4 linked regions of the Saccharomyces cerevisiae S288C genome follow. Changing the gene in region 1 together with any one later gene gives a genetic interaction. Each region holds a gene or a part of one and is shown in the gene's direction. Other genes may lie near its edges.

What was found.
Region 2: mutations in PUT3 (region 1) and NRP1 together harm fitness more than expected from each alone (negative genetic interaction), as found in Saccharomyces cerevisiae (one large-scale study listed by BioGRID).
Region 3: mutations in PUT3 (region 1) and VHR1 together harm fitness more than expected from each alone (negative genetic interaction), as found in Saccharomyces cerevisiae (one large-scale study listed by BioGRID).
Region 4: mutations in PUT3 (region 1) and YLR297W together harm fitness less than expected from each alone (positive genetic interaction), as found in Saccharomyces cerevisiae (one large-scale study listed by BioGRID).

The regions. Positions count from the first base shown.
Region 1 is NC_001143.9:404,850-414,034, forward strand, and holds PUT3 (Put3p), read left to right. Parts: upstream 1-3,694; coding exon 3,695-6,634; downstream 6,635-9,185. Other genes in the region: WD-repeat containing protein SWD2, read left to right, coding at 1-242; ATP-dependent 5'-3' DNA helicase HCS1, read right to left, coding at 341-2,392; ATP7 (F1F0 ATP synthase subunit d), read right to left, coding at 2,616-3,140; URB1 (Urb1p), read right to left, coding at 6,770-9,185.
Region 2 is NC_001136.10:160,495-164,682, reverse strand, and holds NRP1 (Nrp1p), read left to right. Parts: upstream 1-1,528; coding exon 1,529-3,688; downstream 3,689-4,188. Other genes in the region: CCR4-NOT core subunit CDC36, read right to left, coding at 1-393; FAP7 (nucleoside-triphosphatase), read left to right, coding at 641-1,234; SFA1 (bifunctional alcohol dehydrogenase/S-(hydroxymethyl)glutathione dehydrogenase), read right to left, coding at 3,919-4,188. UniProt on the Saccharomyces cerevisiae protein: May play a role in chromatin organization.
Region 3 is NC_001141.2:246,545-254,646, forward strand, and holds VHR1 (Vhr1p), read left to right. Parts: upstream 1-3,446; coding exon 3,447-5,369; downstream 5,370-8,102. Other genes in the region: YIL060W (uncharacterized protein), read left to right, coding at 1-282; YIL059C (uncharacterized protein), read right to left, coding at 6-371; RGI2 (Rgi2p), read right to left, coding at 1,358-1,852; YIL055C (uncharacterized protein), read right to left, coding at 5,498-7,381; YIL054W (uncharacterized protein), read left to right, coding at 7,999-8,102. UniProt on the Saccharomyces cerevisiae protein: Transcription factor that binds to the VHRE consensus sequence in promoters of VHT1 and BIO5, and regulates their biotin-dependent expression.
Region 4 is NC_001144.5:722,447-728,980, forward strand, and holds YLR297W (uncharacterized protein), read left to right. Parts: upstream 1-1,597; coding exon 1,598-1,987; downstream 1,988-6,534. Other genes in the region: YLR296W (uncharacterized protein), read left to right, coding at 532-858; YHC1 (Yhc1p), read right to left, coding at 2,275-2,970; ECM38 (gamma-glutamyltransferase), read left to right, coding at 3,623-5,605; EXG1 (glucan 1,3-beta-glucosidase), read left to right, coding at 6,509-6,534.

The DNA.
Region 1 (9,185 bases):
TTCTAGATTCTGGATCTGCTTGTTTCACACCAGATGGTGAATTCGTCCTTGGAACCGATTATGACGGTAGGATTGCCATTTGGAATCATTCTGATTCAATAAGTAACAAAGTATTAAGGCCGCAAGGGTTCATTCCCTGTGTTTCTCATGAGACCTGCCCCAGGTCAATTGCATTCAACCCTAAATATTCGATGTTTGTTACCGCAGACGAAACAGTAGATTTTTACGTGTACGATGAATGACTGCTGCTACTGCATTGATATACTAGAGGATATAATATATAACGAACATTTTTTACCTACTGTATAACGACGTATACTCTATACATCTTGTGTATTCTTTACAAATAATCGTCAATGTTGGGGTACCTTACGTCAGCGTTCTCTTCACACCATTCTGACCAACTTTTTAGGTACTTGTTACCGCACCTTTGCAGAACTTCTATATTGCCAACAACAACTAGTTGCCTTCTGGGTCTTGTCATGGCGACGTTCAGTCTTCGTTCTTCCTTAAGGAAACCAACTTCAAATTTTTCATTGCTACGAACTAAACTCAATATGATAACATCTTTTTCACGGCCCTGGAACCCATCTACAGTTGATATTTCAATATCAGTTAATTTTAATTCATCATGGATCAATTTTTTCAGATGAGAAACTTGTGCATTGTATGGAGAAATAACACCTATAGAGTTCTCCGGGACGTTGAATGACCTTAAATTCTCAATGTGTTCTTTTACAATGGCAATTTCGCCCTCATTATACTTAGATCCAAGGATAGTAGCTTCATCTGCAGTCTCTTGAAATTCATCACCTTGCGTATCATACCAAATTAAAGGAATTTTTGTATCGTCATCATCCTCAGATGGCGTAGCATCGACGGTCGGTAGGTCTATCAAAAGTCTGTTCGCGACCGTTGCATCGGCCAATAGTTTCCCATTATACATTGAGTGCGATGGAAATTCCATAATTTTTTGATTCATCCTGTATTGAACGTTAAGAAATTTTACCATATCCCTTTTCGGGAATATTTTGATTATTCTGTCAAATAGTGTGGTTTCCAAATTGTGAATGACATTTTTGTCGTCTTCTGTTTTGATTGTGGGTGGCAATTGTTTATTGTCACCAGCAAGGACTAGTTTGTGGAACTGATTTTGATGTGCAATTAGTGGGATCCAGCATTGTGGTTCCATGGCCTGTGAGACTTCATCGATGATCAAGGTATCGAAAAGCTGGAAATTTGGATCATCTCTATAAAGGGAGCATAGTTCTCTCGATGATGAACCGTGTAAAGTGGTGACGACTATTCTCGATTGTATTATTAAGTCCTTAATGGTTTTGAACTCTCTTTTCTTTAAATCTTTGCGCAGCAGTTTAATTTCGTTCCAGTTTTCTTTACGTTGCTTATAGTTTTTTAGTTTTTTATTCTCCTGAATTAATTTGTCAATCTCCTGGGAAATGTCCTTCACAATAGTATTCTTTTTACTAAGTATATCAAGAGAGTGTCTTTTATTAGAGTCTAATAGCCTAGCAGGATGACCGATTCTTAATAATAAATTATTCGGCACAAGAGGCGTTAGCCTCTCCAGAATCGTATCCACAGAAATATTGGAAGGCCCACAAATTAAGATTCTCTCCTCAGGATTTTTAATTAGCAATTGCTGGATCAATTCAATTAATGTGAATGTTTTACCCGTACCAGGAGGACCATGTATAATGGTCAAGTCATTGTTAATGGCAAAATTAATGGCAGTTTTCTGGGAGTCATTCAGATTCGGGTTTAAAAAAGATTTAATGTTTTGAAAGCTGTTTGTATTGGGGATGAAGGGGCGTTCGTTTACCAAGTATTGTATAATTTTGTCTTGTATGGGTGAACTAATTTCAGACAGTTTTCTCATTGTGGATTCCATTCTATTATACGTGACGACATTGGTAGTCTTTAAAATGTAAAGTTTGCTATAAGAATAAAATGTGGTAGCAATAACATCTTGAGATTCTTCTAGAGCTATGGTGATTTGAGTATCACTCATTTTGTAGACAACGCCTGAGCATTCCGCTTGCTCGCCATTGGAGTCTTCAGACACCTTTTTGACTTTGGGCTTAGTCTTGGTATTTACTTTGGTTTTTGCAGGGCGTACCAAAACAATATCACCAACCTTAATATCACCCCTTTGAATTTTGTCGTTAACCGCCAAGTTAGGTCCCAGTTCCATATATAATTTGCCAATGAGACCGGATCTTATGTTTTCTAGATGTATGTTGTTTATTGCCAAGCCATTTTGCACCAATTGTTGGATAGATAGCGTTGTTAATAGCCTAGAAGTTGTTTGAATGTCTTGTTCACGTTCATGCTTGATGCTTGATAAAAACTTAGAAGCCAATTCTTTGTTCATTTCCCTCTACTCTTTTTTCTATATTTCTCAAGAGACAACTTTACATCAGCCTTCATATTTTTGAAATATATGTAACGTACAAGATTTTCTTAGCGTAAGGATATGCAGGCGCACATTTGTGTATATATGACAGTAAGAATGTTTAATTATAATATTTGCCAGTTATATAAACCTGTGAAAAAAATAATAGAATATGGTGCGTAATATATAGAGGTAAAGGGTACTACATCACATTCAAATTGCCGAATCTGTCCTTGTAACCAGGTACGTCCCATTTACCCTTCTTGACCATCTCTTCTACCTTAGCATCAATTTCAGGTTTGATCTTTGTCAGGTCGTCAACAGTTAATTCATCGAAAGGTCTTGCAGATTGAATATTATCTAAGGTGCTTTGCAAATCCTTTAACTCCTTGGAAACTAAGGATTCTGTCTCCTTGGCGTTGGTCATTGCGTGCTTTTCAAAAGACTCAATCACTTGTAATTGTTTGGAGGCATCGATTTTGACCGGCTTATATTGCTTAACGTATGATTCTATCTTGTCAATGACTGAAGTGTTTTTCAACACAGATCTATAATGACTGAAATCTACTTCGGTGGGTTGACTTTGCAGCTCTAGTAATTGTCTACGTGCCTCATCGTTTCTCTTTTTAAAACTCGATAATTGAGTGGCAGTCGACCCTGTTATACGTAGAGAAGAGATGACTTTTGCCCAGTCAAGTTTGTTAGCAGCGGATTTGGCCAAAGACATAGTCGAACAAAAATATAATTAGGTGATTCTGCAATTAAGTGCACGAAAAATTTCTTTTAAATCCTAAGATTGTTCTTTTGCGTTACGTGTCAATATGAATATATAAACTTATATAGAAAAGTATTGTACTAGTAGAAATATGTTTTACACCTACGCTAAGCAGCAAGTGGTAATTGGTGTATCTTTTACTTTTTTGGGGGCATCAAGACAAATATCCAATCAAATCGAAGAGAAAATAATTCTTGTAACCCGCTCATTAGTCACGTGGTCATCACGTGAGCATAATATATCACGTGATATACACCCATACCTCGTTTATGGGATTGAGTCATCGGATATGTCATTATAAACGATATTTCTCCGCGGCAATGAGGTGGCGAATATTGGAGTAAAAATGAAAACATCCACCAGGTGCTTGATGATATACTTGACTTCGGCGGCAATTTAAAGCTTTCTAAGCAGCAATTAGTAAGTAACCATTACAATAACGATAAATACGACACTGGTCCAACTAACTCATTGATAGGATAATTGCAGTGATCTTAACGAGTTTAATGGTGACCGACCAAGGCAGTAGGCATTCGATACAATCTAAGCAACCAGCCTACGTTAATAAACAACCGCAAAAAAGGCAGCAGAGATCTTCTGTCGCATGCCTTTCTTGTAGGAAACGTCATATAAAATGTCCTGGTGGTAACCCTTGCCAAAAATGTGTTACGAGCAATGCCATATGTGAGTACTTGGAGCCGTCAAAAAAAATTGTTGTGTCGACAAAGTATCTGCAACAACTGCAAAAAGACTTGAATGATAAAACTGAAGAGAATAACCGCCTGAAAGCTTTGCTCTTGGAGAGACCAGTGAGTGTACGTGGTAAGGATAACAGCGATGATGACGAGAGGCATATAAACAATGCACCCTCAAGTGACACATTGGAAGTATCCAGCGCTCCGGCGGCTCCTATATTTGACCTCATGTCCAATAGTAACACTGCGTCCGATAACGATAACGACGATGACAACAGCAACAGAATCACAAATAATAGGAGCTATGATCATAGTTTGGAAAAATACTACAAAAAGGCCATCAGCATCTTTAAACAACCAGCTAATGCTAATGGCGAAAATGGCAACGGTGCCAATGGTCATGAGGATGATGATGAAGATGATGAAGAAATATCAACAAATTTTGCTCAAAGAAGTGGTAGGCTCATAGAATCTCACAATGGATTCCATTATTTTGTTGGATCTTCTTCAATGACATTATTTGGGTTAGAAATTCAATCTTTGGTTACAAAGTATATTTCGGTCAAGAATTTTCGACCTTTGCCAATAAACACCAAAAACAAGATTTTAAATTCAAACCTGAACCCGGCTATAAGTTCTTTTATCAATTCAAACAACTATCTTTTCTCGTCCTATAATTTTTTGAACCCTATATCGACTATTGTCAACTTAAACTCAATCAACGATAATTTATCTCCATTGATGTTTAAGATAATTTTGAAAAGCGATACGGATGGTAGTAGTGGCCAGGAAGAGGTAATACAGTTTCAGTTGCCTTCGTATAATTACACAAAACTATTAATTGACTGCTTTATAAATTATAACGATGGTTGTTTTTACTTTTTCAACGAAGGCCTGGTTAAATGTGGCATTAACAAATTGTACTTGGAAAATAAATGGCTATACTATGATAATACCAAAAAAGCTTTGGACAATGAGAATGATCCAATTTTACAAGCTGTTTGGTTTTGCAAAATTTTGTTAATTTTAGCAGTAGGTGAAATGTATCTGGGTTCCATCAATAATGAAATGTTGAAGAATTATTCTAATCAGCCAAAATTGCCCGGTTCAAAATTTTTTCAAATGGGTTCTAAAATTTTTAATTGTTTGTTCTCAAGTGAAAGATTAGAAAATGTGACTAAGAAAGGCGGTATTGAAGTCCTGTTGTTATACGCGTTCTTCTTACAGGTGGCTGATTACACTTTAGCCTCTTATTTTTACTTCGGTCAAGCCCTAAGGACGTGCTTAATTCTAGGCTTACATGTTGATTCTCAAAGCGACACTCTATCCAGGTATGAAATCGAGCATCATAGGAGACTTTGGTGGACAGTTTACATGTTTGAACGAATGCTTAGCTCAAAAGCTGGGTTACCATTAAGTTTCACTGATTATACAATCTCTACAGCACTGCCAGCGGATATTGATGATGAAACTATCGAAGAGAAAAATAGTCACTATGTTTTCAGAAAGGCAGAATTGATTTCTAACTGCGTTACTATTGTGAAAATCAATGCACAAATTTTGAGCAAATTATATCAAAGGCAACCTGAGACAAACATCATAATTACTTTGAAAGTTGTCATCAAGCAGTTGTTGGAATGGAGGAACAATTTGTCCGATTCCTTACAGGTGGATTTTACGCAAAAGGATGAAGATTTCAAAATATCGAGATTGTCAACCAATATGTTTACGGAATATTTTCAAGGAATAAACTTGGCCGTGAGACCTTTATTATTTCATTTTGCATCCATTCAATTGAAAAGGTTCAAAACGAGCAATACTTTCGTCAACTTACAAAACTATTCTGCCACAATATCTTCCTTATTAACATGTTCTTTGCATGCTTCTGTGAATACTATTAGGTCTCTGTGGAGTTTATTACAGAATAGTATGCTTGCTATGTTTAGTTATATGGACAGAGAGTATCTTTTTACTTCTTCTTGTACTTTATTACTATTCAACACTGCTTTTGGTATTCATGAACAAACACTATATCATTTGGATCATTCTCTGGAAATTTTCACACAAATGAGAAACTTAGGCAACATTCCAGCAGGCTTAAGAAGAGCACAATTATTAACATTAATGGCAAATTTGGATTTCCACGGCATAATGAATGACTTGATTACTAAATATAACGATATTTTGAAATTTGATTCTATGAATTGTGAAAACGATAACATAGTAGAAGATAGCAATGAACCCAAAAGAGAAACCGAAAAGTGTAAACCTCACAAAGATGGCGATCGCATTGACCCTTCAATTATAGACTGTGATAAATCAAACACCAATACAAATATGATCAAGAACGAATCTATATCGAACATTGTTAGCATACTTCCGGAAGGCGCGAAACCAACGCTGACTGATTATAGTAATGGTAATAATGATGTTAATGATATTAACGTCAATAACTCGGAACCTTCTACTTTTTTTGATATCATAACTGCGAGCTTGGAAAATTCATACCAAACCACGCTAACTGAAAAGGGCTCTCAGGTGATGGAAAAAAACATGGATCAGTTGGATTCCGTTCATAATCTAAATGATGACGATTTACAACAATTGTTGGAGGATTTAGGCAATATTGATCATTCCGATGAAAAACTTTGGAAGGAAATCACTGATCAAGCAATGTGGCTGGGAAATACTATGGATCCAACTGCAGCTGCTGGTAGTGAAATTGACTTTACTGATTATTTAGGACCATAACACCATTACAAAGACAAAGAAGAAAATACTGATTTCTTTGTTTTCTTATGCATATATTATACATTTCGCACATTATATAGAAAAGTGGACATTTAATTCTTCAAATCTTATTTAAAATATCTATCACAAGACAGCTCATTTACGTAGCCTCTTGACAACATTGTCGCTATCACCTTCTGTCCATAATATTAGCCTTTTTTGTGATTTGACAAGCTCGTTGTAGCCTAATAGTAGTTTTTCAATTCCGTTTTGTTCTTGGGCTAACCTCAAAGTAGTATTTAATGTACCTCTGTTTTCGTTCCGTAAAGTACCAATGTTGTTCAGTATATCGTCCTGTGGTAGTCTAGATTTGATGTTATTGTTCAAAACCTCGAAAAACGACACAATACCGTTTCTGCTAATTAAATTCAAACCACCATCATCTGCTACCCTTTGGACTTTGTAAAAAATAAAATAGATTAGTTCGCGTAATCTTTCTTTCAAGTATGGCATATTGATCAAGTTTAACAACCATTCAAATACACCTTTCTTCTCTAACATCTTGTAATCTTCATCCGTTTTAATTCCCTTACAAATGGTTGTTAAAACCCAACTCAATTCTCCATAGTATATTTCCATATCAATTTCTTTCTTATTGTCATCTTGTTGTCTCTTATTGTAGGACATCATCACATCAGATACCATAGGGATGTCCCAACTACGTATGGTAGAATTTGATAATACCCAGCGGTATGCCTTCTCATGTAAGGGCGCAGTTGGACTTCCCAATAGATCAACAATTCTAGAGATAGAAAACCAAATTAACGGATTGATAGGATCTTGATTTTGTTGTCTCTGGTATAAAATCCTTTTAATCAACACTTGGTAAATGCTATTATATTTGATTAAATCGCTATCAGATTCTTTTCTTTCATTATCCTTGCTAGTTATTTGCTTTTCAAGATTCATCTGGGCAGTTTTCTTCTCCAAAGAAGAAGCTAAATTTGATAAATGTTCGTAACTTATATTGGCAACGGTATGACAATCGCTTAATGAGCAAATAATAAACTGAAATATTTTGCAATCAAGGAAATTTTCAAATTCATATCTGTATGTTACATTGCCCTCGTCATCTTTGACCATTTTTACCAGCTCTTTGTTATGGATTATTAATAGCAGTAAAAATAATGGATCGTACATATCAACACCAGATCGTTCGGTATCATCGTAGTACTTTTTGACTAGGTCACACCTTGTAGTAGCATCATAATTGTTTGTATTAGAATCGGTATATAATTCAGGGACTTGAGGCCTTTCCAATACGTATCTGTCAATGGACTTTTTGATCATGTTTTTTTGTAGTGTTAGTATCAACCCCTCCCTTTCTTTGGTAATCAGCCTCGTGTCTCCAATGGCTTCCAAGATTTCTTCCTCTTCGTCTTTGATAAATTCCCAAGAAAAAATCATGTTTGTCCATGAAGTAGCGGTGTGAGATTCGATAGTTTCTAGAATTTTCAGTATCAACTTGTCGTTACTGGAAATAGTACCGGAGTAAAAAGTCAATAATTTCTCTTGAACTATTGGCGTCGAATTTACGACCGGGTCGATGCTGAATAAAGAGAATAATATCATTGTGCTTAAGAACTTTCGATACGATGAATCTTCATCATTGTCTTTAATCATTATTGATGAGTAACTGTCATTGCTTAATAAAAGTTGAACCATTCTTTGCGATTGAATTGACTTTTTGCTCACACAAAAAATTAATACAATAACGTATTCAAGAACCTTAATTTGTTTGATCCACTCACTGCCTAGAATAGCCTCTAATTGAGAATTAATGATTTTGACATTCAACTTATTTGGTACCTCTTCAAGTTTTAAGAGCTCAGCCATCGCTCTTAGTAACTCAAAAAAAGAATTGGAGATAACTTTTCTTTCTGAAAGGTACTTTGTAAGGTAAAGAAGAGTTTTATGTAACCATGTTTCTACCCCTGGATAAGTAAAATTATTGTGTGCAGCTATGTATCTTACTGTAGCAGCATGATATTTATGGTCGCTCTGTGATAAAACACATTTCAAAATTTCATTTCGTTTCGTTTCGTCATAGAAATCAATATAAGTGGTAATCATATTTAATATTTCGTCAAAAATCTCACTTTTCGAGGTAGTGTAAGTACTTTTCGCAATTTCATTACCATACTTGGAAATGGTTTCATGCGCAAATGCGCTAAAATCTTTATCCTGCATGTGCTTGAACAAAGCAGCCGTTGTTACAATACTTAGTAAAGGTGAATCCTTGATCCTCCAGATACTTGGTATGAAAGATGGGAAAGAAAAATGTTCCCATCTGTAAAAAGCTTTCAGTACTAGATAATTCAAATCACTAGACACAAAACTATTTATCAGAGAAGTAGTTTCTGAAAGGGATAGCTTACCCATAGGATCAGATGAAGCATCAACACAAACTTTGTTTTCTTCAAAAAATTTAGCCAAAGAGATGTTTACTTCCTTAATTGAAGCAGGATCTTCATTTGCAGCTTTGTTCAGTATATTCTTTACAAGGGATATT
Region 2 (4,188 bases), on another chromosome or scaffold:
TTCCAAATACGTTAGTTCCTGGATGACTGTACCAGGGTGTTTATAGAAGAGGAAAAATAGAGTTTCATCTTGAAAAAGGGCAACACGCTGTTGGTCATTTTGGATGGAATTGAAGCATGGTGGAGTTACAGTGGATTGTAATACGCCCGGAATATTGGTGAATGATTCTGGTGTGAAAAATCGGGGCTCCACTTCGCTTCTGGATGTTTCTGCCCACGGTGATTGAAAAGTATCGAGGACTCTGTGATCTTGTGAATCTCTTGGAATACCCAACGAATATAGCATCGACGATAAGTCCGCTCCTAAGGTCATGGAATGGTCATATGTACTTGAAAGTTCTTTGTCCTCTAGCTTAAGGAGCGGTACTAGCGCTTTTAAACCAAATTTTTCCATTATGTAGGGAATAGTATATTTTGATTCTCTTCTCTTCCTGTTTTTCCTTGTGGTTTTTGCATATCTAGTTTAAAAAATGCCTGTTTTGCTATTATCTTATTAATGTTCGCCTCGCTTTTTCGCAGTTATAAAAAAATACTCACATAATAATATACTTCATAACAAAAGAGCTCACTCTTTATAAATCATACACAAGACTCGTAGAAAGGAACTATTAGAAAATAAAGAAATACTTTGTTATATAAAGATGGAAGCAAGACGGTATGGACCGAATATCATTGTTACAGGAACACCAGGATGTGGCAAGTCGTCTACGTGTGAGTTTTTAAAAAATAAACTGAAGGATTACAAATACTATAACATTTCGGATTTCGCCAAAGATAACGACTGTTTCGAAGGATATGATGAGGGCCGTAAATCGCACATTGTCGATGAAGACAAACTGCTGGACATGCTAGAGCCTCTTTTGAGACAGGGAAATAGTATTGTCGATTGGCATGTCAATGATGTGTTCCCAGAGAGGCTGATTGACTTGGTGGTGGTGTTGAGATGCGATAACTCTAACTTGTATTCAAGATTGCATGCAAGAGGCTATCATGACTCTAAGATCGAGGAAAACCTCGATGCCGAGATTATGGGTGTCGTCAAACAGGATGCCGTGGAATCATACGAACCGCACATTGTGGTAGAGCTACAAAGCGATACGAAAGAAGATATGGTATCTAACGTATCCCGTATTGTTGCTTGGGAAAAGATGTGGTTAGAACAACATCCAGATGGAGTCACAAATGAATATCAAGGGCCTCGTAGCGATGACGAAGACGATGAAGACAGTGAGTAGGCGTTCCATAACTTTGTGTATCTACATATATACATATATAATTGTAAATTAGTAACAGTAGTAATAGTAGTGCCTATTATAAAGGGTTTTCTTTAAGTAATGTCATGTACTTGTTTAATGTGACTTTGGTAATATATTTTCATTCTCCGATGCCGATGCCCAGTGGAAAAGTTTAAAGTGAAAAATTTTTCAACACATACAAGTTTAATAAGTTGGTTTTGATGCAAATAGCATTACTAAAGAAGAGCGCTAGGATAATTGTGCATTGCTATTGTGATTTTTGATACAGAAATTATGCACTATGTGGTACTAGAGCTGCAAGTTGCGCATTTGCCAGATACCCCCAAGGATCAATGTCGCATTGCGAATATAGCATTTCAAATTGTGAATGCTGAAACATTAGTATGCCATTATGGGACCAATTCTTTACCGAGCATTGAAGTAAACGGGACGACAAAGAGTTTGGAGAGTGCAATGGTGCAATTGGACAAGGATATTCATGACGTTATTGGTAACGACGACTTTGTTCTTGTTTCCCTGTATTCAACATGGCATATCCGTGTTACCTTACCACGTCAAGCGAGAGATGATGGGTTTATTCTTACTTCTTATTTACAACATCCGAAAGTATTTGACTTATGGAAGGAATTCGATAGATGGTGTGTCAACCATCCGGAGATTTTGGGACAAAAGAAAGCAATCTCCAACAACAATTGTAATACTAAAAGTATTAGTATTAATGCAGCCAAAAATACGAAGGATTTGGACGAAATAGTTAGAATATTGGAAGTTTCAATCCCAACTGAAGAGGCAGGCTCTGTTCCAGAGATATACTCTCTTTTAAAAAGGACAACGGATATATTAATACAATTGCACAAAAAGTGTACTTCCCCTGAAGATATGGAATCTGTCTTAACAAAACCATATGACTCACACACCGATATTAGAGCGTTTTTGCAAGAGAAATCTAAGATTTTGTACATGAACAATTTACCGCCCGACACAACTCAAAGTGAGTTGGAATCATGGTTTACCCAATATGGTGTTAGACCAGTTGGGTTTTGGACTGTCAAAAACATCGTAGAAGATACGTCTAACGTTAATAATAACTGGAGTCTAAATAACAGTCCCTATGTGGAAGATCAAGATAGTATCTCAGGATTTGTTGTCTTCCAAACACATGAAGAAGCAACTGAAGTACTAGCGTTGAATGGGAGATCAATCCTATCTAATCTGGCAAACACTAAGCAACCAAGGGTGGTGGAACATGTCCTTGAGCTTCAACCTTCTTCCACCGGAGTACTCGATAAGGCTCAAGAAATTTTATCGCCTTTCCCTCAAAGTAAAAACAAACCAAGACCAGGTGACTGGAATTGCCCATCTTGTGGTTTTTCAAACTTTCAAAGACGTACTGCATGTTTTAGATGTTCTTTTCCGGCACCATCAAATAGTCAAATACATACTGCGAACTCAAACAATAATGTTAACAGTAGTAGAAATAATTTAAACAATCGCGTGAACTCGGGATCTTCAAGCAATATTAGTAACACTGCAGCGAATCACCCCTATGGTGCCCCTGAGTTCAACATGATTGCTAACAACACGCCAGCAGCTTTAACATACAATAGAGCTCATTTTCCTGCAATTACGCCATTGTCGCGACAAAATTCATTGAACATGGCACCATCGAACAGTGGGTCGCCGATAATTATAGCGGATCATTTTTCGGGAAATAATAATATAGCCCCAAATTATCGTTATAATAATAATATTAACAATAACAACAATAATATTAACAATATGACCAATAATAGATATAACATTAATAACAACATCAACGGTAATGGGAATGGTAATGGGAACAACAGTAATAACAATAACAATCATAATAACAATCATAATAACAATCATCATAATGGTAGTATCAATAGTAATAGTAATACCAATAATAATAATAATAATAACAATGGTAACAATAGTAATAATTGTAATTCCAATATCGGTATGGGAGGATGTGGCTCCAACATGCCATTTAGAGCAGGAGATTGGAAGTGTTCCACGTGCACGTATCATAACTTTGCTAAAAACGTAGTGTGCTTACGCTGTGGTGGTCCAAAATCAATAAGCGGCGATGCAAGTGAAACCAATCATTACATAGATTCATCAACATTTGGACCAGCGTCGCGTACTCCCAGTAATAACAATATTTCTGTTAATACTAATGGTGGTAGCAATGCTGGTCGCACCGATGGGAACGATAACAAAGGTCGTGATATTAGTTTGATGGAATTTATGTCACCACCGTTATCGATGGCAACAAAGTCAATGAAGGAGGGAGATGGGAATGGTAGCTCGTTTAACGAGTTCAAAAGTGACAAAGCTAACGTTAATTTTTCCAATGTTGGTGATAATAGCGCTTTCGGTAATGGTTTTAATAGTTCAATACGTTGGTAGTTAGGAACAGGCGAGGTCAATAAATTTCACACAACCACATTGTATTTTTTATTTTTACACTTTTATATATTTATATACTTTTTCTACCCTTACTTTTTTCTTCAGGTCTAACTGATTGCTGAAGAACGTAATTGTGCGCATATATATGATATTTGATAGAATGTAGGACGTTGATTTTCAAAGTATTCCAGAAAATTTGAGTCATGCTTACTTAGTTTAATTAAGTACTCCTATTTTATTTCATCAGACTTCAAGACGGTTCTTAAGCAATCACCGTTATGCAAATCTTCAAAGGCTTGATTGATTTCTTTGAATGGTCTCCTGTGAGTGATAAATTCTTCGACTTTTAAGGCACCTTTTTGATAGTCTTTAATTAAACCGCCCATTTCAGATCTACCTTTGATGCCACCAAAAGCAGAGCCTTTCCACACTCTACCAGTGACCAGCTGGAACGGCCTTGTAGAAATTTCTTCACCAGCGGCAGCCACACCAATGATAAT
Region 3 (8,102 bases), on another chromosome or scaffold:
ACTCTTCACATACATACCTGCGGTAGCAAGATAGGTACACTTTTTCTACGTTTCACGAAGGTAGCGATAGGTACCTCACTCATTGTAGGTGCGGGGGTAGCGATGGAGGTTTCTGTACCATTACCACCACAGCCACTATACTCACGTAGTGAAGTCCCTAGCGTGGAATTGTGTGGTATCGTTGCTATCTGTCGTTCGCCACCCTCGGTATATCCAACGTGCAGGCCAATATCACTCTCTAAGAAAATCGTATCAGGATTGGTACGGACAAACTCTTCATAGCCTACGTCGAAATCAAATTCTGCTAAAGCTGTGACTGTAGTTAAACCTAAAACCGCGATTATTGCTTGAAAAACTGTGGAGAAATTCATGATGGACGGTCACGTTCAGGGTCTGAGAAAACCACTCATTCCTATGTCCCATGTGGTTGGTTGCAATTTGCTGCTATATATACGACTTGGCTGTAGAGAGATCTACGTAGGATGTGTCCACTATCAAGGGGGGTTTACCAACGTTATCTTCTATTTTAAGTGCTCAAATGAAGGTTGCATTATATCCCTGGCAGTTTTCCCGGCAATTTTGCCGGCCGCTTATAATAGTCATGGTGAAAGGATTGTTGCTTGTTGTGGTTGCAACATGACAGTTGCCTACTAACTAAATAATAATCAAAGTCAGTTTCTCAACAATGGAAAACCTGTTGTGACCTTATCGAAGTAACAACATCGTATAATAATTAATCTGGAAAAAATACCATAGTTACTGCCGATACAGGTCTACGTGACTTACTGACAAACAGACTGAGTGACTACGAGTCCAGAAATTTAGTATACCATATTGTCGCTTCTTCTTATAGCCCAGCTCCAGGTCTGGATACGGTTCTGTATAACTCGTTAAGGTTTAAGTGTCCGGCAATTTTTTTGAAGTTTCATTTCTTCACTCGATGACCAAGCCGTGTGCCATCTTTTCGTTTTCTTTTTTTTCAATGTGTTTAATTATCTACAAAGAGGGCACACACAATAGAGCTGATGAGAACCCATGAGCGAAACAAGTAGAAAAGCAAGACGTAAACGGAATCATGGTGGTGTGTACATTTCTCTTTTTTTATTACACCAAGAAAGCTTAATTGGTACGTATTGTTCGTGATAGTAGCATGAATCTAGCGTGGAATTCTTTTATTTAAGGTCGCGTTGTGACGACAAAACATTAAAAAAACCACATGTGTTGATTTGTAGACTTGTATACACTCCAGTAAGAAGGTGCACACCAAAATACATGCGCATATAAATTATTTTATATAGCATGCTATATTTCGTAAATTCATAAAATTTCGTTAATTCATAAAAACAGCTCCCCAAACTTAGATGAGTGGCTGCAAGGGTTCTGTCTTGTAATCAACATCTACCATTGCGCCATCGTGTTTACATACAACTTCGACAGACACCTTGAATTTCTTGGCGTTCAACTCCGTTTCTTCGCCATAATTCCAAACAATCCGGTCAAAGGATTCCTGCTTTTTCTTATCGTGGAATTTCAATTCTGGCTTGTTGATAGCGGTTTTGATGTCCTTTAGCAGGTGCTTCTCAACATGCTGGTGTAAATGGCGAACAAACTTCTTAGAGTGCGAATTGGCAGTCTCTTTGATCTTTTCCGGATCATCATGCGCATCATGCAGGACAAAGGGTGGATAGTACTTCAGTTGGCAATGGACATGGTCGAACTCTTGATCTTCCGTCTCACCCTTTAAATATGTTTCAAAATCATGCAAATCCTCAAAAACCTTTAAGGACTCACCACTTTTTGTAGTGATGGTGGACATCTTAGGACCCTTTGCTTTCTTATCCTTTTTCGTCATTCTTATTATTTAAAATACTTTGTTATATACTGTACGTTGTTTCGTTTGCACTTAATCGTGTTTCGACAGATAGGTGAATCAAGATCTACCTTTACGCGAAAGATACGAAGAATTGAGAAGGAGGTGCAAGGGAAAAGGGCAATAGAGGATTGGGACAGCCGATGCTTATATACGGACGATTGCCAACCGCCGAAAAGGTTCAAGCCAAGAACAAAAAGTAGAGAGAATACCCCAACAATAGCATTTGATGGCTAAACGGCAGTGCCCGTTAATACTATTCAAATTATACCCCGCATTAATAATTCCTGTCCCTTTAGTCTCGTCCTTCAGCCGTATAGCCGCAAAACTTCGTTCAATGATTTCATGCCATCATTACACCGCGAGTCGTGGGTGCATTGTAGTTTATTACGAAAAGTATCTACAATACTTGCTTAAATAACCTACATTGTTTTAGGCACTATGGCCGAGTGGTTAAGGCGACAGACTTGAAATCTGTTGGGCTCTGCCCGCGCTGGTTCAAATCCTGCTGGTGTCGTTATTTTTTTATTTTTATTTTTTTTTTATCGCTTACTGATTATCAGATATCTTCGACAGCCTCACACAGATTGGTGATCACGCACCCATAATCATTTCTTCGGGCATGCTCCTATTAGCCACGGTTCGCAGAATAATCTGCGCGATGTTATTCACCAAGACCGTGGAGTCTCCTTTTCGGTGGGATCCGCTTATATCCGTATGCGTCGGTTGCTTTCTCGGGGAAAGGAAAAGGAGAAAGCCCGGATAACACGACACAAGAGTCATTCGTTATGCACGGACACAGGGAATCGTGCGGAGCCGGGGATAAGAGGCCGTGCTAATTTCCGCGGAACATCGGAATGCAGTGGACAAGTGCCCTGAGAACAAGCGGCGGGCGGGTAGCTGCCACGGAATAGGCGCCACGTTTCCGTGGGTGACTATGACTTTTGATCGATTCCATGTTGTTTTGCCCTGAATTCTGCGCCCCTCGGAGAAGTTTCTTTTCTTTTTTATCTCTTTTTCATCTCTGACCTTCGTTTCCTTTCATATAGACTACGCAGCAGAATCATGGCAGGAGCTATTAGCTGAGTGGGCAGATTACGTTTGCGCACTGTGCATTGTGACAGATTATATTTGCTTCGCTTCTCCCTCTTACTTCTTCAGCATAAGTGTAAGCCATATGTTCCCTGAAATCTTTCTACCGTCGTCTTCTCTTTTTTTTTTTTTTACTATAAATCAATGTGCTCTCTTCCATGATTCTTGCCTTTTGGATCTTCGGTACTTGTGTGGGTGAGAATGGTGTTATTGAGTCAATTCAGGTCAGCTTGGTTCAGTTCTAATCTAGCCCTTTCCCTACTATACAAATACTACTAGCCTTTTTTTTTCTCTCTCTTTCTCTATACCACTACCTCTTCCTCTTCCTTTTTTTTCTCTTCTTTTTCTATTGTCCCCATCGCATCTTAGCATAAACGCATCCGCATTCCCTTCCTACATTTTTCTTTTCTACTAGTTATAGCTTTAAAACCTTCTTTATTCTCTTTCTACCTATTCTTCTTCGTTGCTTATATCCTATACACATATGAACGGTCCTCCAACATTCACTCAATATAGAATAAATAAGTTTTCTGGGAATGGAGCAACTCATAAGATTAGAGAATTACTCAATTTTAATGATGAAAAGAAATGGAAACAGTTTTCGAGCAGAAGGCTGGAGCTGATAGACAAATTCCAACTAAGTCAATATAAGGCAAGCGAACAAGATCAAAACATAAAGCAGATTGCTACAATATTAAGAACGGAGTTTGGATACCCTGTAAGCTGCTCTAAGGAATTCGAAAAGTTAGTCACTGCTGCTGTGCAATCAGTGAGAAGGAATAGAAAACGATCAAAAAAACGCTACGCTCTCAGCATAGCCAATGGCAGTGGCGGCAATGTCAACAACAGCATCTCGTCAAATTCTACTTCTGACGACGAGATCTCTCCGTCGATCTACCAGCGCTCCAATTCGGACTTCCTGCCTAGTTCTAATTATGCTGCAGATTTCCAGTTTTCAAACAAGTTCCAGCCTCTCATGAGTCACCAGAGTCATAACGGAACCATTTTTCCAACCGTGGGCACCCAAAATGACTCATCTCCATCGGTTACTTCGACCCAACAAAAGTATAACGATATAGTCACCATGCTAGTGCACGATCTTGTTACGAATGTCGTACCCCTATCAGAACAAGCTCTCAAGGACCCATATACTGGGCCAAACCTGTCACATTTTGCTACGTCTTCACTCAGCCAGCAACCTAACATTACCACAAACATCCCGATAGATTCTACCGTGCCATTTTTCCTGAGGGAAAAGTTACTCCTACAAATCCAAAGATCAAGAACTTGTCAGGACATTTCGCAGGCTGCAGGATCCATTGATATATACGCAAATCTGGAGATTTTGGGTGAAATGTCAATCCGAATGTCTATTGCATTCGTTATCGAACGATTTTTCTCCAACTTGGTCTCTTCTTCAATGAAGTATATCACTGCCAAGACGTGCTCTCCTGAAAATCTGGCTTTGTTGTCTCAAAGACTGTTCGGTGCCGCTACAAGACATAACTTATCTCATTTCCCCGCGGCTCAGGTACAACTAAGGCTACTGTATTTGGTCATAGGTGGTATTGTCAAGGATTTTGGCTTCGACCCCACGCTTTACCCTTTAAGTGAAATCATACATCATATTGTGATGGTTCAGTATCCTTTGGCTAGTTCCTGTGCGTCAGAACCACCATCATCTTCACCTAACAAGAGGGTTAAGAGAAGCCCTCCTGTCGTTTCAAGTGACGTTATGTTGAATAATAATAACACTCTATCGAATAGAGCTACACTTTTAACTACGCTACCAATGAAGCCTCAATCGGCCAATAAAGATGTTAATCGCAGAGTGATCATTAGATTTAATGATCGCGAGCAAGCCTTTACTTTCCACCAGTTGAGCAATGGACCACCCACGGTGTCTGAAGTTTTGGAAAACTGTAAAAATTTATTTAATATTATCAACAAGAACAAGAATTTTGGTATTTTCCATAACGATAACCTCTTGAACGATGAAAGTTTGGCAAAGTTATTTGATTCCTTTTCCACGAGCGAGATTCATCTCGTAATTAAGGACATTTCCACCATTCCACTACAAGATGCAAAAATACCAGTGCCCATTACGTTGCCCAAAATGTCATGCATAGGTGAAAACCCCTCTATGCCTTCTATTCCATTGGTACCACAAGAAAAAGATGATCCAAAAAAATCAAGCTTAACTGCCTTTGATAACATCCTTAATAGGATCTCTAAATCGCCAATGAATGAAGAAAATAGCAACACTACTTTAAACACTGGCACCTCCACCTCCAACACAAATAATAATGACCACAACGAGTCTGTGCCAGCGCCATACGTTACAAAGAACAAAAATTCTTTTCAAAATGGCAATTTACCACAGCCGGTTTTCCAGCCTTTACTTTGATAAAAATACAAAACAAAATTGTCTACATACATAACTGCCTAATACACATTCTACACAATATTTTTTTCTTTTTCAATTCGCGTACATATTTATGTAAGATAAAATAATAATATCCTCTTAATCCATGCTTAGAACTGCTGCCGTTGATTTTCAAATTCATCCTCGTCAAATGGTGGCAGTTCCATTACATGAATTTTGTACCCCAGTGAATATTCCTGGTCTTGTAAGGATTCGAACGTCAAATCAGACAGCTCTTTATCGTGGAACCCAACAATGGCATTATACACAATTGTGCTAACTTTAAAGTATTTCGCCTTGCTATCACCTTCGGAGTCAGAGACGTTTCCACTTTGTGCAAAAGTAGTTGGCAAATTTCTATTAAACTCCTCTAATTCATCTTCCGGTAATTCAAACCTCAGTAGAGTTGCTTCTTCATGATCTTCATAAACCCCTACATAGAATTCCCTTGTATTATTGATAGATGTTCGAGGTCCGCCATTTGTGTATGTGCTATTATTTGCACTCCCGTTGGTGTTCTCATTTTCTGATATCTTTAGAGCGTCCATAGATTCATTGAGTAAAGATGCTTCGTTTTGTTGCTGTAGAAACTGTCTTTCCTGTAGTCTTAATAGCTTGGGGCATTTCAGTTTTATAAAATCTTTTAGAACTGTCCATCTTAGCCTTCCAAATTTTTCCAATTGTCCTTTCTCTTTAATTTCAATAACTGTGAACTTCTCTTGGTTCATTAACTCATTGAAATCAGACTCTGATAATTTCTCCAAGAATTCTATAGGTATATAGGGTGGGAAATTTATGATCTTCAGCTGCCACATACCTCTATTCGTCATTTGTTTTCTAAAGCTTTTCTCGTTAAAGATATGCTTTAATCTTTTGTGATTTATTTGAGTTTGTGAAGGTGTAATTGTTCCACCATTCTTTGCTTGGAGGGCACGGTCATCACCATTCGTACTTGTAGTGGGAATATTACCATTATTATTGGAATTTGAGGCCATGTTCAAGTTGTAAAGGGCAGATATTTCGTTATAAGAGGGATTTATCTTATTGTTCCTTAAGGAGAGGTGATGCTGCTGAGAAAGACGAGGGCCTGTGCCAGTATCTGGATTCCTGGGGCTATTATGCATGTATTTTTGAAACTGGCTTTGGTTCTGGTGATAGAAATGCCGACGACGGGGATAGTGTGTAGGGGAAGCAAGTGGACCACCAGCAGTAGCAGCAGCTGTTGGTGAAGGTAGAGTAGTTTGATAGGGCATCTGCATATTAGGTACCGTTCCCGGAGGAGCACCCAACATAGGTAGCATCGAAGTCGAAAATGGACCATGAGGCGGGGGAGCAAGAGGTGGCACACCAACAGGTACGGGAACAGGCGTGGGCAATGGCGTTATGTTCTCATTCTTTCGAAGGCTCACTTCAGGAGAAAAACTGAAAAATTGAGAAGGTGGGGTAGAAGCGGATGGTGGCTGCGGTGTCACAGATGAAACATGGCTTGCATATCGAGGAGAAATAGATCTTTTAGTTTCATCGGGAGCACTCCGGACGTCATTGTTGCTATCACTGATTTCTGGATATCGCAGTGAAGGAGAATCATTAGTGTACGGCAACAGGTAAACGAACAGATCATGATAATCCCATTGGTAGGTGTTCAAAGTAAGTAGTAAGTTTTCCAGGGACTCGTTATCTATCGAGTTCTTCAGAATGACAATGCAACTCTGAAAAGTAATAAAAGGAGGAACCATGGAAGTCATTGGAGGCAGCATTTTCACCTGTAAAATATTGGTATGGTATATGATTCCGCCTATCAAATATTTTACCTGGGCCCAAGTCTTGCCCGGAGGGAGATTATCAATCCTTATGGGAATACCATTTGACTGCGAGTACGTCTTTTTCCTAGGAGCAGCTTTTGTGCTTGCTGTTGAGCTTTCGGTCGCAGAACGGGCAACAAAGGCACTGGCTGAAGCAGCCGACTTGGCACTATAGTGTGGTTCTAGAGTCATTATAAAGCAAGCGTATTGTAAGGAGAGACAGCAAACTCTCGTGTATCAGCCAACTGAACTGGAGGCCAAGACCAATCTAAAAAAAAAAAAAAATGAAAGAAACAAGTGTGGGAGGAAGTCTTGTTAACTTAACAGTTAAGCAAGCGTAAAAACCTTTAGGAAAGCGCACGAAAGAAGGCCAACATTACGACTATGGAATAATACAATGCACACAAACAAAAGGTAACATTTGAAAAATGGAGTAGAGAATATATTCCATTCCCCTAATTTTTTGCGGGTCTTCCAGGGCTGCGAACCCATCGCTCAAAACAAGCGCAGTGTCAATTAAGACATCATTGAACTAAAACGGAAAATTTGCTTGCGCCACACACCCTGGTCAATCGTACCAAGGGATATCACTCTGTACGGGTGGGAGGAAGGCGCGGCAATTAGAATGTGTGGGTGCGGAAGCTCGCCGCTCCCATCAAGAGAGTGGAAGACGTATGGTCTGGGTGCGAAGTACCACCACGTTTCTTTTTCATCTCTTAAGTGGGATTCTTACGAAACACGTCACAGGGTCAAAAGAAAGAGAACAAAAGCAATATTGTAATTGTCTCAGTCCACGGCAATGACATGGCATGGCCCCGAAGGCTTTTTTTGTCTGTCTTCCTTGGGTCTTACCCCGCCACGCGTTAATAGTGAGACAAGCAGGAAATCCGTATCATTTTCTCGCATACACGAA
Region 4 (6,534 bases), on another chromosome or scaffold:
TTAACACCCCTTCCTTATAACATCTGAGCAGTGGGTTTTTTTTTTTTTCTTTGATATTGAGGACAAAGGAAGAAGTTGGTTGGTCGGGTAAAAGAACTACGCTTTTTTTATGATGCATAATTGGTTCGTGTATGGCGATATGAGAATCGGCAATCAAATACAATACCAACATACTTGTTTTACATAATAACAAGCAGTCTGGACAAGCTTGATAGACTAATAATCTTGAATGATGTTTAAATGCTTTTTCGAGGAAAGCGGCATTTGAAGATAAGCGCAAGTTCTCTTACAATAAGCTCGATTTCAATAAAAACAAGTGTGTATGCACAAGAGGCAACAGAACGTCAATGCCCAGAAAATGAAGTATTTCGGCTTTTCCTTCCAATGCATTTTTTTTTCATTAGAACGCTGATCAGCTGTGTATAGTTTAATTTTATTCTCATTTTCATTTTACAATTTTAAGAGCCGCCGAGGCCTAGAACGAGAAATCCGTTTCCCGCTTTTTCTTCTCCTTACGTCGTCAGATTCTATATGGGCAGTTCTCGCGTTATTCGTCATCAGGCAAGTAATTATGCCCAATCAGCTTACCAATGTCACATAAAGGAACCACTATTATCCCTTTTTGGTAATGAAAAACAACACTCTTCCGGTACGACAGCCGCTGCGGCAATTACTTTTCCCCAAAAGCTCATAATCGATCAATTAACGCGTAAACGAAAAACAAAAAAAAAAAAAATACGTAAATTAGGTCTTCATACGAGCGTTTTTTTTTTTTTGAGGATCGTTTGCATGTCTAGCGCGGCAAGCGTGTTTACAGGCATTCGTTGTGTGTTCATGTTTAGAACAAATGCTAAGTGATAATTATAACTGAATCCTACTCATAACAATTGCACACCTTGTCGCTTTCTTTTACTCAAGGGCGACAAAACGAGAACACATCCTCGAGCTATAGCCGCGGGGCCTGCTGACTCGAAACTCGTCGGGCTTTGCAGCCATAATCCAGGGCAGTGGCCGCATCGTTCGGGTCGAATGGAGGGCTAGCTACTTGTGATTTCCGAAAAACGGACTGCAAAAAATGAGGAACAATAGAACACCGCGCGCTTTCTTTTGGGGCTGTCTGGAGAAACCAGTGAAAAGTGCGCACGCGTATTGCGGCTTAAAAAGATACCCGTCCATTCAAGAATGGCCGATTTAACAGAAAAGAGTAAAGAGATGAGTTTTGCGAGATCAGAAACAAAAACAAAAAGGAAAAAAAAAGGAAATTTTTTTGGGAGAAGGAAAAAAGGGTTAAGTCTGTAGAGAAACTCCGTAGTTCCCTTCTGTATTACTAATTGGTTACCAAGTAATAAATACCTGAGAGTAGTAATATATAAAAGAGAAATCGTATAAGGACCGTGTTAAATTTATATATATTAAGGAAGTCTTTCGGTTGGTAGTGTGAGATAACTAATTCTTTTTGGAGAGCCTTCTTCTTTGCTCTATCGTGGTAATAATCTACATATTCTCACAATCGCACACGTACGCTTTCTCTCTCACAAGTAACAAATTATTCTTTTTGCATTATAGACTACGTACGATAAAAATATAAAAACAGAAAATGGTCGAAGGTGATTTTGTCGATGAGCAATCGAACATTGCCTTACTAAGCTCCAAATCCATGTGTGGTGATCATCATAGCGTCAAGAATAGCATAGGGGATGAGATCTTTAAATTATTGACAAAGATTTTAAATTCGGATGAGAAAGCAAGCGGAGATGTGCACACACTCGTTTCTGGGACCCCGGATCTCTCAAATTTTAACCTCGATAATGAACCACTGGAAAACATACTCGCTGTTTTCATAATATCTTTTATTATTGTAGTGGTTGGAGTTTTACTACTTGGGTTGATTGGCATGATATTCATATCTCTCCGTTCAGGCAGCAGTAATGATAAGAAACTACAGTCCAACGATGAAGAAAAGCAAGCACTTGCTGAAAAAGCATGAAATAAAAATAGATATAATAGATGGCACCGCTCTTCACGCCCGAAAGTTGGACATTTTAAATTTTAATTCTCATGATAGTAACGATCGTGCACATTCAATTAATTATCGCATACCAAACATTTTTTTTCCTTTTTCAATTCAACTAATCTCAATTTTTTAATTTTCCTTTTTTTATTTCCTTTTTTTTTATTCTCATCATACCATTTTCATTCGTTGTTGATATCTCTATTGTTTTTTTTGGCAAAATATAGTCTACATATAATATTTAATAATCTAATCTGATAGCGTTAATTTCCATACCGCCTCCTTTTATATCCGTTGGCACTCGACGGTTTCCGTATGCCGTCGGAATGCATCCGCTTCTTGGACTCCTTGATCGTGGTTTGCAGTATATCTACACTGTAAAATATAGAAGTTTTTGGAATGGTGTTACTCCATTGTGATAATATCTTTGGGGGTTCTAGCTTCTTTGGGTTATTCAACCTAGGAAATGGATTGCTCTCGCACGTCTCATCTCTGGATCTTGAAGTTTGCTTGAAGGAATGGTGTGCAGATTTTTCATTGGCTCTTTGGGGTAATTTGCTGGCTTTAACCAAATCTCCTATATCAAACCTGTTAGCATCCACAAATACTTTGGAATATCCTGGTGAGCCATCGTATAACAATTTCAAGGTATCTATTGAGGTTTGTGCCAGTTCTTTTTGGTTCATTTTCTTCACATGCATGATGTGTCTTTTCTCCTTATTTGAAAGGCATGTAACTTTTAGCGTCTCATTTTGACTACTGTTTTCTCTTTCTTTCCTGCCTCTTTTTCCAATGTGGCGTCTTTTATGATTATGTTTATTAATAATGTCTCTTGCTTTGTTCCTATAATAGTCAGCTGTTATACGAAGGTGATTCTTACCGACCAAGTGCGATTTACGAACGCTCAACGTGTCATGGGTCAAATACGAATGACAGTATTCACAATAGTATCTCGTCATTGCCTATCTCTTTCCTCTCCGTTACTTGAGCACCTTCATCGCCTACACTAGGAGCTCATATTATATCTTCAGTATAGCAAGAATATTTTCTGTTATCCTTAACGCTTACCCGCCTATGTACCTTGACACTTGCGGAAATCTAGTGTTCAATGATAAGGTACTGTGTGGAACATATGAAAGTGAAAAGAGTTTGAACCGTTTATTATCTCTATACAAGTGTCTCTATTCACATATAAAAGAGTGAAAATAAAAATAACTTTTAAGATTTTATTACCTACATGAGATTAGAAAAATCATAACTATATTACTCAGCGGCTGTGCCTGTTGTTGATCAAAAGAAAAGATCCGCCCCTTCGAACGTCTTAGTGCCGCCTTTTGCCCGCTTATCAATTTTCTCTGAGGGAACATAACGGCATTTATCTATTCGACTTCCAAATCTACATACACGTATATAGATACATATATATATGTGTGTGTGCGCCTGTGTGTACTAGCACTTCTCAATATTATAATTCTTCCGTAAAGTTCGATCGTGACTTCCTGTTGCACAGTTATCTTAAATAATAGAATAAAAAGCTAACGCAGATTCAAGTGGGGCGTTGTCAGGCACACAAAAAGACAAGACAAAAAGTAGCGTACTAGACTTACAGTTATGCTGTTGTGTAATAGAAAAGTCCCCAAGACTTTAAATACCTGTTTTATACTGCATATATTCACTCTGTTAACACTGGGTGTGTTAGTGTCCGGAATGCCGTCAAAAATGGTATCATTCGCCTCTCAGGAGACTTTGCAGAGAATAAATAATCTCCTTCGAGGGTCTGCCAATCGAGATGTTGACATTATTGCAGAATATTTGAAAAAAGACGACGATGATGATGGCGGCGATAAGGATCACCATAACATCGATATTGACCCTTTACCTCGCCGTCCTAGTTTAACGCCTGATAGGCAACTTCTAAAAGTCGGTTTGCATGGTGCTATAAGTTCAGATTTAGAAGTCTGTAGTAATTTGACTATAAATGAGGTACTCCTGAAATTTCCCGGTTCTAACGCTGCAGACGCTGCAGTAACACAAGCTCTTTGTAAGGGTATGGTGAATTTTTTTAATAGTGGGATTGGAGGTGGTGGCTACGTAGTTTTTTCTGGCAAAGACGATGAAGATCATCTATCCATTGATTTTAGAGAAAAAGCACCCATGGATTCACATAAGTTCATGTTCGAAAACTGCTCTCTATGCTCAAAAATAGGGGGTCTTGCTGTCGGTGTTCCAGGTGAATTGATGGGTCTCTATCGCCTCTTTAAAGAAAGAGGTAGCGGCCAAGTTGATTGGCGTGATCTAATTGAACCAGTCGCAAAGCTGGGAAGCGTGGGTTGGCAAATAGGCGAAGCACTCGGTGCCACTTTAGAACTTTATGAGGATGTTTTCCTGACATTGAAGGAAGATTGGTCGTTTGTATTGAATTCTACCCATGACGGTGTTTTGAAAGAAGGCGATTGGATCAAGAGGCCGGCACTATCTAACATGCTAATGGAACTGGCTAAAAATGGTTCCGTGGCCCCATTTTATGACCCCGATCACTGGATTGCAAAATCCATGATTGATACTGTCGCAAAATACAATGGAATAATGAACTTGCAGGATGTTTCATCGTATGATGTTCATGTTACTAAACCACTGTCCATGAAAATTAGGAAGGGCGCCAATTTCATCCCTGATAACGATATGACCGTATTAACAAGTAGCGGCTCAAGTTCCGGGGCTGCACTACTTGCGGCGTTAAGGATAATGGATAATTTCCAGAATCAAGAAGGGGGCGATTATGAAAAAGAAACTACCTATCATTTGCTTGAAAGCATGAAATGGATGGCAAGCGCAAGAAGCAGGTTAGGCGATTTTGAAGGCGAAGCATTACCTAAGCATATAGAAGAGGTATTGGATCCAGAATGGGCTTTGAAAGCAGTGAAATCAATCAAAAGAAACTCTCAAGACGGAAATTTTAAAACTTTAGAAAACTGGACGCTTTATGATCCGGCATACGATATCAATAACCCGCATGGAACTGCCCACTTCAGTATAGTAGATTCACATGGGAATGCTGTTTCCTTGACAACCACCATCAACTTGTTGTTCGGTTCCTTAGTACACGACCCAAAAACCGGGGTGATCTTCAATAATGAAATGGACGATTTCGCTCAATTCAACAAATCTAATAGTTTTGAATTGGCACCCTCCATATACAACTTTCCCGAGCCCGGGAAAAGACCCCTATCATCCACTGCACCCACTATTGTGCTGTCAGAATTAGGCATCCCAGACCTCGTGGTCGGCGCTTCCGGCGGCTCAAGAATCACTACGAGTGTTTTACAAACAATTGTGAGGACGTACTGGTATAACATGCCTATATTGGAAACGATAGCCTATCCACGTATACACCACCAGTTACTGCCCGACCGCATAGAACTGGAAAGCTTCCCCATGATCGGTAAAGCCGTACTAAGCACTCTCAAGGAAATGGGATATACGATGAAAGAAGTATTTCCCAAGAGCGTAGTTAATGCTATACGCAATGTCAGGGGAGAATGGCATGCGGTGAGTGACTATTGGAGAAAAAGAGGAATCTCCTCCGTATACTAAGATGTGGGGTAAGAATGGTACTGTAATATAGTTCAAGATAATAGTACGTAATGTAGGGAGCCTGCTTCTGTGGTATATAAATAAATACTGGGCTTGCGTTTATTTTTAAAGAATCAATATTTACTTTTCATTAACAAAGGGCATACGCCCTTAAAACAAAACAAAAAATCCAGATCATGCGAGCTTTGCCTTTTTCAGTAAGTTTCCCTACCTTGCAGCCGAGACGCGACTTCGGAACGATGCCAGCATACGTATTTACCATTATTAAAAAAATCTGATGGCTTGATACTGCGCGTTTCTTTTTATAGCATTAATACGCACACATACGCGCATTGTTGTTTACTATAAATAAACCGTGGGGACCTGACCCAGTCATCCTCCCTGTGTTTACAGTGCGGTGCACACGAGCCTGAGACAAGCCCGTAACCAGGCGCGTTGCCGCAAATACAGAGGCGCCCCAGACAACACCGCAGTGTGAAGCACTGTCAATTTAAAACCGTGGCTTGCTGGAGATGCCCAGACCAACCCTGTTGGGTTTTTCTCTCGAGCACGCCGTTATAATTTTAGCGTGTTCCGTACCTGTGTGCACATCAATAAGCGGTGTAACAAACTTGAACTTGCCATCTCATATCGTCATATGAGCAGTTGCAGAGAAAGGCACTTTAAATAAAAAGGCGTGGATGATAAAAAATGTATATAAGTTGGATGGATTTTTGGGAAAAAGTAATGTTTTTGCAGACGTTTTAAATACTCCCTCCCTTTTCTTAGTAATTTTTATTATGTATTGACTAAGTCAAAAATAACTATAGAAAACTAAAGTTTACGAGAGGACCCAAAAGTTTTGAATAACACGTGCCTTTGATTTTTTGTTTACTTTCTTTTTCTAGTTAATTACCAACTAAAATGCTTTCGCTTAAAACGTTACTGTG